Linked DNA regions of Saccharomyces cerevisiae S288C. Changing the gene in region 1 together with any one later gene gives a genetic interaction. Each region holds a gene or a part of one and is shown in the gene's direction. Other genes may lie near its edges. The genes, in order: PST1, AAD4 and YGR050C.

Evidence for each region.
Region 2: mutations in PST1 (region 1) and AAD4 together harm fitness more than expected from each alone (negative genetic interaction), as found in Saccharomyces cerevisiae (one large-scale study listed by BioGRID).
Region 3: mutations in PST1 (region 1) and YGR050C together harm fitness more than expected from each alone (negative genetic interaction), as found in Saccharomyces cerevisiae (one large-scale study listed by BioGRID).

What each region holds. Positions count from the first base shown.
Region 1 is NC_001136.10:561,713-565,521, forward strand, and holds PST1 (Pst1p), read left to right. Parts: upstream 1-1,814; coding exon 1,815-3,149; downstream 3,150-3,809. Other genes in the region: SCF E2 ubiquitin-protein ligase catalytic subunit CDC34, read right to left, coding at 1-615; EMC10 (Emc10p), read right to left, coding at 3,311-3,809. UniProt on the Saccharomyces cerevisiae protein: Has a partially redundant function to ECM33 in cell wall integrity. May be involved in a repair mechanism activated in response to cell wall damage.
Region 2 is NC_001136.10:17,077-20,443, reverse strand, and holds AAD4 (putative aryl-alcohol dehydrogenase), read left to right. Parts: upstream 1-1,877; coding exon 1,878-2,867; downstream 2,868-3,367. Other genes in the region: YDL242W (uncharacterized protein), read right to left, coding at 1,132-1,485; THI13 (4-amino-5-hydroxymethyl-2-methylpyrimidine phosphate synthase), read right to left, coding at 3,218-3,367.
Region 3 is NC_001139.9:591,518-594,510, reverse strand, and holds YGR050C (uncharacterized protein), read left to right. Parts: upstream 1-2,068; coding exon 2,069-2,425; downstream 2,426-2,993. Other genes in the region: protein kinase FMP48, read right to left, coding at 1-915; SCM4 (Scm4p), read right to left, coding at 2,634-2,993.

The sequences.
Region 1 (3,809 bases):
ATACCAAAAATTATCCGCCATATCCTTATTCGATTCTGGTTCATCTAGTTTACTTTGAGATATGTACGCCGATTCAGAAGTGGGCATTATGAAACCTTTAGGGATATCTTGTTTCGATCTTTCCACTTCCATTTTGACTCTTTGCTTGTATTGTTCAGGGTTCTTTCTGTAATCAACAGCGGCATCGACATTTGCTGGCGAGTTGATATTGGGGTCCTCTAATAGAGATACTATAGAGATCAACACACTTTCCACGGTCTGCACGGGGGACCACGTTTCAGCATCAGGTTCGTCGGTCATAGGATCCCCACTTTGATGTAAAATAGAAATACAAAGCCTGCCATCCCTGTAAACGTTTGGATGGTAGATAGCCGGCGTAAATCGAAACTGTGGTGGAGAAAAGGGAAAGTCTTCCGGAAATCTCATTTGAGCTTTGAAAAACCCTCCATGATAAATGGAATCCTCATTTAGCACCATAACACCTATGTTCCAAGTGAAAATATTTGAATCATCCTCTAGTTCTATATGAAATGAGGGAATAGCTTTCTTAGGATCAGTAAGTTCTCTATATTGCCGTAACAGTAAGCTAGAAGCGGTGCTTTTGCGACTACTCATATTTACGTTGTATTGTTCTTTTTTCCTTGTTTGGTGTACTAAAAAATAACAGTCGCTATAAGTCCTAAACAGTAAAGGACAAAGATGTCAGCGGCAGAGAGTATAAAGGAGTACTATTCGACTGAAATAACAAACGCAAAGCTCCTATTATTTTGTAATAGTATGCTCTTTATTGTCCTTCTTAACTTTAAGTTTCTGCTCTTGTTCTTTACAGATTCAAGAGGAAACCAAAAAAAAATCAAAGAAAAAGAATCGAATTTTTCCCAAAATGAAAGTGTAAGGAAAAAAAAAGAGGAGATAGAAAATCCGAAGAACCCCAAGGGACGGACAAACACAAGACGATGCTGCACGTGGTTAGTTTTGTAAGCGCAGGTTACGATAAAGAGCATAAACAAATCATTACTAAGAGCGGTATACAAGAATAAAGTGACAAACAGTTCTCCCTATTTAACGCACTTAACGTAGGTTCCATCATTATGATGCTATTGCCACATCAAATCTCCTTTGGACTGAACCCGCATTAGTAATTGCCCGCTTTTCTTTTCTTCCGCGGGTGGGCCCCATAAATAGAAAAAAAAAGAAAGAAAGCGTTTAAATAAATAGAGTGAGCGGATTTCTATTATCTGAAAACCGGGTTATAATGCACGTGATATGCACGTGGGAGCTGGGCGGCTATTTTTTTCTTTTTCAAATGTATTTGAGTCGTTTAAAATAGCACTCCCCGTTGACCCGCCAACTCATTTTTGTTTTCTCTTTACGGAAAAGGCTTTAAATTAAGGCCCGCATTTTCGGTATCCTTGAGGGAAAAAAACCAAAGAAACCCAAAAAAGACCACAAAGCTGGGATATCTTAATTAGTAGAGAGGGCTTTTAGTTTTAATAGTGTTACGAGTCTCTAAAAATAGCGTAGGCACACTGCCCTGATTCGGACTTTGATCAGAGTTTATTACTACAAAGAGTAATGTTGAATGATTGGGCTGGGTTTTCATAGCATTAACTCTAAGTAATATCATTCAACCGCTCAAGGTTCCTTACGAGCAAACCCATATATGCTCTACAGATAAACATATAAATAGCGTGCATATTCTTCTCTATTCAACTCTTGCTCTGTATAGTTCAATAGAATCTTACAGTACATCACGCTGCAATAGATCTAATCCAAGAGAGAAGCAAAAAAAAAAAGCTCGCTATAAAAATATCATGCAATTACATTCACTTATCGCTTCAACTGCGCTCTTAATAACGTCAGCTTTGGCTGCTACTTCCTCTTCTTCCAGCATACCCTCTTCCTGTACCATAAGCTCACATGCCACGGCCACAGCTCAGAGTGACTTAGATAAATATAGCCGCTGTGATACGTTAGTCGGGAACTTAACTATTGGTGGTGGTTTGAAGACTGGTGCTTTGGCTAATGTTAAAGAAATCAACGGGTCTCTAACTATATTTAACGCTACAAATCTAACCTCATTCGCTGCTGATTCCTTGGAGTCCATCACAGATTCTTTGAACCTACAGAGTTTGACAATCTTGACTTCTGCTTCATTTGGGTCTTTACAGAGCGTTGATAGTATAAAACTGATTACTCTACCCGCCATCTCCAGTTTTACTTCAAATATCAAATCTGCTAACAACATTTATATTTCCGACACTTCGTTACAATCTGTCGATGGATTCTCAGCCTTGAAAAAAGTTAACGTGTTCAACGTCAATAACAATAAGAAATTAACCTCGATCAAATCTCCAGTTGAAACAGTCAGCGATTCTTTACAATTTTCGTTCAACGGTAACCAGACTAAAATCACCTTCGATGACTTGGTTTGGGCAAACAATATCAGTTTGACCGATGTCCACTCTGTTTCCTTCGCTAACTTGCAAAAGATTAACTCTTCATTGGGTTTCATCAACAACTCCATCTCAAGTTTGAATTTCACTAAGCTAAACACCATTGGCCAAACCTTCAGTATCGTTTCCAATGACTACTTGAAGAACTTGTCGTTCTCTAATTTGTCAACCATAGGTGGTGCTCTTGTCGTTGCTAACAACACTGGTTTACAAAAAATTGGTGGTCTCGACAACCTAACAACCATTGGCGGTACTTTGGAAGTTGTTGGTAACTTCACCTCCTTGAACCTAGACTCTTTGAAGTCTGTCAAGGGTGGCGCAGATGTCGAATCAAAGTCAAGCAATTTCTCCTGTAATGCTTTGAAAGCTTTGCAAAAGAAAGGGGGTATCAAGGGTGAATCTTTTGTCTGCAAAAATGGTGCATCATCCACATCTGTTAAACTATCGTCCACTTCCAAATCTCAATCAAGCCAAACTACTGCCAAGGTTTCCAAGTCATCTTCTAAGGCCGAGGAAAAGAAGTTCACTTCTGGCGATATCAAGGCTGCTGCTTCTGCCTCTAGTGTTTCTAGTTCTGGCGCTTCCAGCTCTAGCTCTAAGAGTTCCAAAGGCAATGCCGCTATCATGGCACCAATTGGCCAAACAACCCCTTTGGTCGGTCTTTTGACGGCAATCATCATGTCTATAATGTAATGGAATGAAGAAATATTCTTCATTTTTGATAACTAGTACCTGTCATTCACGACATGTGAACAAATAAAAACATTTATTTAAAAATTTTATGTATTCAAATATTTTCGGGAAAGAGATAAAAGTAACGACACTTAAAAATTTAAAAAATCACAATACTTTATTTACTCAGTCTTTTGATCAGCTCCGGCACCTCCTTGTTGTTGCTTCTTTGCTGAGCCCGCAACAAAATTGTAAATCAATAGGCCTAAAAGTAACATTTTCCAGTTCTTTTGAAACCAAGACACCTCCTTAACCTCTTCATCTTCTTCGAATTGTGCAGTGCTTCCATCCTTATTCTTACTAGCTTTTTTATCAGCATAAGTTTTGGTTTTCTTCTTTAATTTGGTGACTGGTGCAGTAGGTCCCGCTTCTGGATATCTGACTGTAGCAGTAATAGCATCGTTAGTCTCGTCATATGATAACGACACTTGTTTGACCTCATTATCTTCATCTACATCCACAATTAAATCGTATTTTAGTGGTGTCCTCAGCTTCATGTAGCTAAAACATGGCATATCCAGCTTACCTTCAATCTGGGCATTCAAACAGTATTCTCCAGAAACTTCAACATCCTGTATATTAACGGTTGTTACTGTAACATTCCCATCGGATGTACTATCA
Region 2 (3,367 bases), 540 kb from region 1:
TTGCAAATAGTCAACATATTCAACTCGGAAGGTAAAAGATGAAAAGGCAATTTTTTTGATTTTCTAAGAAAATGCGCAGCGGGCAGAAGGGTCTTCGCAGGCAACTGAGTAAAGAATATGAGAAAAGCCTCTAAATGTTGAACCCTGAAAAAGTTTCATCTATTTTTGATAAAGACTTTTCAATAGTGCAGGATCACGCAAGAAAAAAAAAGGTCCTTAAGAGCAATTGTGGGAAAATATAATACAATGCTTGCGTTAAAACTTCTAGTTACCTTTTACAACCGAAAGTAAACACTAGCATGGGCTTGGAGACGAGCAGCGCAAATTATATAGTTTGAGATAGAACGCTTTCTCCGGTATTGCCTGGGGAAAAGGAGTCACATGATTAGAATCGGCGAAATTTTTTTTCCAAAATTAACAGCAGGGTTGTCTGGATGTTTTATTGAAAATAGAAGCCAATGACAAACACAAGAGGCCAGTAGTATATTAATTTTAATGTGCATTCTAAAGCATCCTCACGTCTTTCAATCTGAAGTTACTGTTCGAGAAGGAGAAGAAAAGAAGGAAAAATGAAGGATATGAATAATAACATGAGTACTAGTTACGTCCAATCTGGTCACACCATATATTGATGCATCTTATGCGCCATAACTTCTTTTTTTGTAGCTATAATTTGTTGCCAGAAAAATGAAAACTTTTCAAAATCAACCAGTTTCCAATTTTTCTGCAACTCGTTATTTATGAAGATAGATGATGATTGACCCCCTTTCTCCAAAAATCGATGCAGCATTGGGTTATTTTTTGAGCTTTCTAATTATAGGGCCATTTTCTAGCAAGACTGTATAGCACATGCTCGCAAAGAACATGGCGTAATGTTCATAAGAAACAAATTTTGTAAGTTTCTTGTGCCTTTTGAGTTTGAAATCATTGACCAGAACAATGAGAACTCTAAACACGACAAATGGATCTTAAATCAATTTTCTTGAAAACATCTTCCAGTTTCGATATTCGCACATTTGCCGGTAAAATAGTGCAATCTGCCTATACCTTTAAAATGGGATCTTGAACGCGTACCTGAAGGTTTTTTTAAATAAGGCCGAACCTAAATGTTGCCTTCAAAATTAACCTGTATCAAATTTTGAAGCCGAAGTTGGTATCCTCACATTGTCTAACCTCATGGTCTCCTAAAGTCCGGCGATCACTTTCCGTTGCGTGACTATTGATGATCAGACTGTCAACAATGTCGTTCCGGGCCTCCATAGCTTGAAGAATTTTCGTTGACGGAACTAGAGGAATGGCAGATGGAGATGACCTTAGTTTCATGTCGCCTTGATAGTTATCAAAGAGTACAGAAACAAGACGTCTCTTGCTCAATAATAAGGATTGGATCAGGTGCTTACAAATTTTATTCGTCATACAAACAATTACTAATATTTTTTTAATATTAAGCGTACCCCTATTTGATTGGCTCTCTTCTAAATTCATACGTTTTAAAATCCGCTTTCAACCGTCAACATAAAATTAGTAAGCAGACCTCGTTCCAAGACCCAACTAAGTTGCACTAAATATCCTCGAACAAATTGGGGGCAGATTTTTGAACCATATAAAAGTCATGACAATATTTCCAGATCAAGGACAGTTGCAGTTCTTCCTTTCATCGGCCAGCTGACGAATTGACTGAGCGGCTTTGTATTTCACTAGAATACACTTCCTATAGCTACAAAATATTATTCAATAATATTAGTGAATTATTTAAACCTCTACCTGAACCACCTACCGAGTTGGGACGTCTCAGGGTTCTTTCTAAAACTGCCGGCATAAGAGTTTCACCGCTAATTCTGGGAGGAGCTTCAATCGGCGATGCATGGTCAGGCTTTATGGGCTCTATGAATAAGGAACAGGCTTTTGAACTTCTTGATGCTTTTTATGAAGCAGGAGGTAATTGCATTGATACTGCAAACAGTTACCAAAATGAAGAGTCAGAGATTTGGATAGGTGAATGGATGAAATCAAGAAAGTTGCGTGACCAAATTGTAATTGCCACCAAGTTTACCGGAGATTATAAGAAGTATGAAGTAGGTGGCGGTAAAAGTGCCAACTATTGTGGTAATCACAAGCATAGTTTACATGTGAGTGTGAGGGATTCTCTCCGCAAATTGCAAACTGATTGGATTGATATACTTTACGTTCACTGGTGGGATTATATGAGTTCAATCGAAGAAGTTATGGATAGTTTGCATATTTTAGTTCAGCAGGGCAAAGTCCTCTATTTGGGTGTGTCTGATACACCTGCTTGGGTTGTTTCTGCGGCAAACTACTACGCCACATCTCATGGGAAAACTCCTTTTAGTATCTATCAAGGTAAATGGAATGTGTTGAACAGGGACTTTGAGCGCGATATCATTCCAATGGCCAGACATTTTGGTATGGCTCTAGCCCCATGGGATGTTATGGGAGGTGGAAGATTTCAGAGTAAAAAAGCAATGGAGGAACGGAAGAAGAATGGAGAGGGTCTGCGTACTGTTTCGGGTACTTCTAAACAGACGGATAAAGAGGTTAAGATCAGTGAAGCATTGGCCAAGGTTGCTGAGGAACATGGCACTGAGTCTGTTACTGCTATTGCTATTGCCTATGTTCGCTCTAAGGCGAAAAATGTTTTCCCATTGGTTGGTGGAAGGAAAATTGAACACCTCAAACAGAACATTGAGGCTTTAAGTATCAAACTGACACCAGAACAGATAGAATACTTAGAAAGTATTATTCCTTTTGATGTTGGTTTTCCTACTAATTTTATCGGTGATGATCCGGCTGTTACCAAGAAGGCTTCACTTCTCACGGCAATGTCTGCGCAGATTTCCTTCGATTAATCAGATTTCTTTTTTGGTGCGTTTGTGTAAGAAATATGTCCTTATATATTCCACGCTATCTACTTTTATACTTTTGAATAAGCCGCACCTAAAAACAGTCTTTATCCCTCACCTAATTCAGGCGTAAATTGTGCAGGTTACAGCATTTGAAGTGGTAAATCGAGGCAACACAAGACTTTCGATACTTGGAGGCAAGTACGATAATTACAAGGGAAAAGAAGCTGTAATAAAAGGCTCATAAATAATATCTTAATAGTAAATATCTAAATATCAGGGAGGAAAAAAAACCTAATGGGAAATCATAAACAAGTCGTAGAGGAAGGCTACGCTCGAGGAGTGACGAAGTGCGTTTAAGCTGGAAGAGCCAATCTCTTGAAAGTACCTTCCTGTCTGCATTTTTCTTGATGAATAGCCATCAATCTTTGGGCTTCCAAAGGATCAGAAACCTCTTCTGGTTCTGGCCAGGACAGGTATTCATTAGTGTAGTTCGAGACATAGTC
Region 3 (2,993 bases), on another chromosome or scaffold:
TTTAGCGTTCGATACCTTTAATAAGGTATCAACCATAATCTTGCACAAATGGAAGACATCATAAATGTCGGGTAGATCTTGCCATATGTACTGCCTCGTATGCTGCAGGCTAACGTGTAGGTCTTCTTCATCATTGTAACCACAGGAGAGCCTTGGTACTACGTATTTCCTGTAAATGAATGCAAATGGATCTTTTTCAAACTCATCGAAATTTTTTAGATGCTGAACCTTCTTTGATTTGGAGACTCTAAAAAGGCAATCGCCGAACATCAGATAAAATATGGTGGCACCCAATGACCAATAGTCAGCTTGGTATGTGTTATACAATGGAGCCGATGACCGATCGAAATTCTTCTTAAAACAAGAGTTACTAACGCGGCCAGAGAAAGTTTCTGGCGCCCTGTAATTATCGGTACCAATCTGGAAGTCGTTAGATTTAGGGGATTGGATAGCGTGACCCCAGTCTGCCAACTTGATGTCACCATTTATCGTTAGCAAAATATTTTCTGGTTTGATATCACGATGAGCAATACCCAAGCTGTGAGCAAAGCTGATTGCTGAGCACAGTTGTTTGATTATCTTTTGCATATCAATTTGAATCAAAGATGGAGACGACGGGCTACCTTGACTCTTAGCAATATCTAGAAAGTCATAAAGATCACCACATTCGCAGTATTCTAGCACCATGATGTAGTACGAGTCATCCGTGTAAAAGTCGAGCATCGAACAGATGTTGGGGTGAGGATTACAAGAACTCAAAATCTTCATTACATCATACTCGTTCTTCATGTTGGCTTCTGAAGTTTTGTATTTAGGAGTAATCTTTAAAGCGACGTAGCGGTTATGTGTAGTACTCCATGCTTTATAAACTGTGCTAAATGTTCCTGATTGTATAGATCTTAGTTTTGTATACATTTTTGCTTTTTATTATTCGGTATATGCTGATAATGATGTGCTTATTTAAATGATTGCGTATACGAGTGAGAATTTGATTCGGAGGGTATGAGAGTCGATCTTGAGTCCTATGTTATATGCTTTTTGTCAGTAACGGGTTATTTAATGCTAAGAATAGTTATTATAAAAGGGAAATTTTTTTGTATTAAGAATAGTCATCACTTACATGTGTATATTATATATATATATATATATGTATTGTACTCGTATTATTATTCTTTGGGGAAAGTATTAGTAGGTAGATGCAACTAAGCTCCGATTTTTCCAAAATTAAGTTGTCCCTTATTGCATGGTCCCCTTAATTATCCTTCCTTTATTGTATGTAACATGAAGCTGCATTTTTGTTCTCAGGCAGCATCATCGTTCCCTTCACCTAACCCTTCTAACTTCCTTTTACCTGTTGCAAGCTGTCTCATACCCGCGCTGAAAAGGCTGAGAACTGGGTATTGTCCCAATATTACGCTCGGCTTTTCTTTTCAAAAACTTTGTATTCCAGATACTTCCATGTGCAATTTCCCTAGTGCTCCCTGTACCAAGCCATCGGAGAGGAGATGCCTTCTAGAATTCAAAGCACGTAAGGGGTACAAAAATCGGAACGGGCCGAAGGCCGAAAAGAGACGGCCGTACGTGAGAGCACATGCAAAGTGGTGAACGGGACGTTACGGAGAATTACGGAACCTCTCAACAGAAGATGCGCCAATAGTCCTTCCGAACTAGCTCCACGGGAGGGGTATGAAGAGCAAGCTTGTTTACGCAGCCTCACCACCGCACCGAAAGACCCTCACGACAGAAATGGAGCGCCTTTAATGACGTTCGTCCGCTGCGGGCCAGAACAGCACAGTTTTGCTTCCCCGTTTCTTTTCCACTATTTCGTCACCCGCTCGAGGTGGCTCGCCCGCTCGGAGGCAAGCTGCACATTCATCGAACACGGAGAGGCACGGGCGAGAGAAAAAAAAGCCTATTGACCTAAACGGATGTCATAATGAAAAGAAGGAATCCGGTTTTCCTGGGCATGACTAAGGTAGCACGACTCAACTGGGCCAGATCGGTTGCTTCTTCCGATATACATGCATTAGATTAAGCCAAAGTAAAATCAAAAGAAAATTTAGCGGATATGAAAACCAATCTAATCTCCTCGTTTGCTTTCCGACCGCATGTAAGGTTCGGCTTTCTTGACTTCGGATATAGCTTAAAGTCGATTCTTGACGTCACTTCGCAATATCATTTCATTCCCATTAAACTGGCGTATGGACTTTGCGATCCTTTATTAATAGTTTATCCGGATCCCAGTTTTAGTTTGGCTCAAGCTGCAGGTGAAAAGAAAAAAGTCGTATTCCCTACGTATGAAGATGTTCCGAAACTACTGTTGACGTTTAAGCAGATTATGAATACGTATAGGAAGGGAAGTTTGGGACAGAGACAGAGACAGAGAGTGTACGGGCGAAATGGGAATGAATCACATTCTACGTAATTTGTCTTTGACTTTCTTAGAGATACGTATATAACTTTTTTTTCTGTGTGAAAAATAAATATTCTCTTATCCAATGTGGACAAGAGCCAAAAATACTCTGCTTTGTATATTTACTAGTTTTTTTGGCCTTTTTTTTCGCTAAACATATATATTAGTCTCGCTTAAATAATTGTGATGTTTGAAGGGAACGTGTCACGTGCTTCGTCGTTCATGCTTTGAATCCATCTAGGATACACTTACCAAAGGTAAAAATTGTTATACCGGTTACAATGCTCATGTGCAATGACATGTATGAGTGACATTTTACGCTTCTTTCGGATTCAGGTTTTAATGTTTTGGCGTTGTTCATCTTTGAGAATGGGCATGCAGCTTCCCCATCTTTGACTTCCGGGTGATGTTGGGGTAATTTTTCATCCTTTTGCTTTTCTAAATCATTTTGGTCACGTGTGCATTTTGGGGCTAGCTTGTGATTGAACAGTGATACTAAGTATAGGTAGGCTGCAGATAATGGGGCGACACCAAGTCCGCACAAAAGGTAGTTTGGTCTTTCTCCTGGTGCAGCTAGATA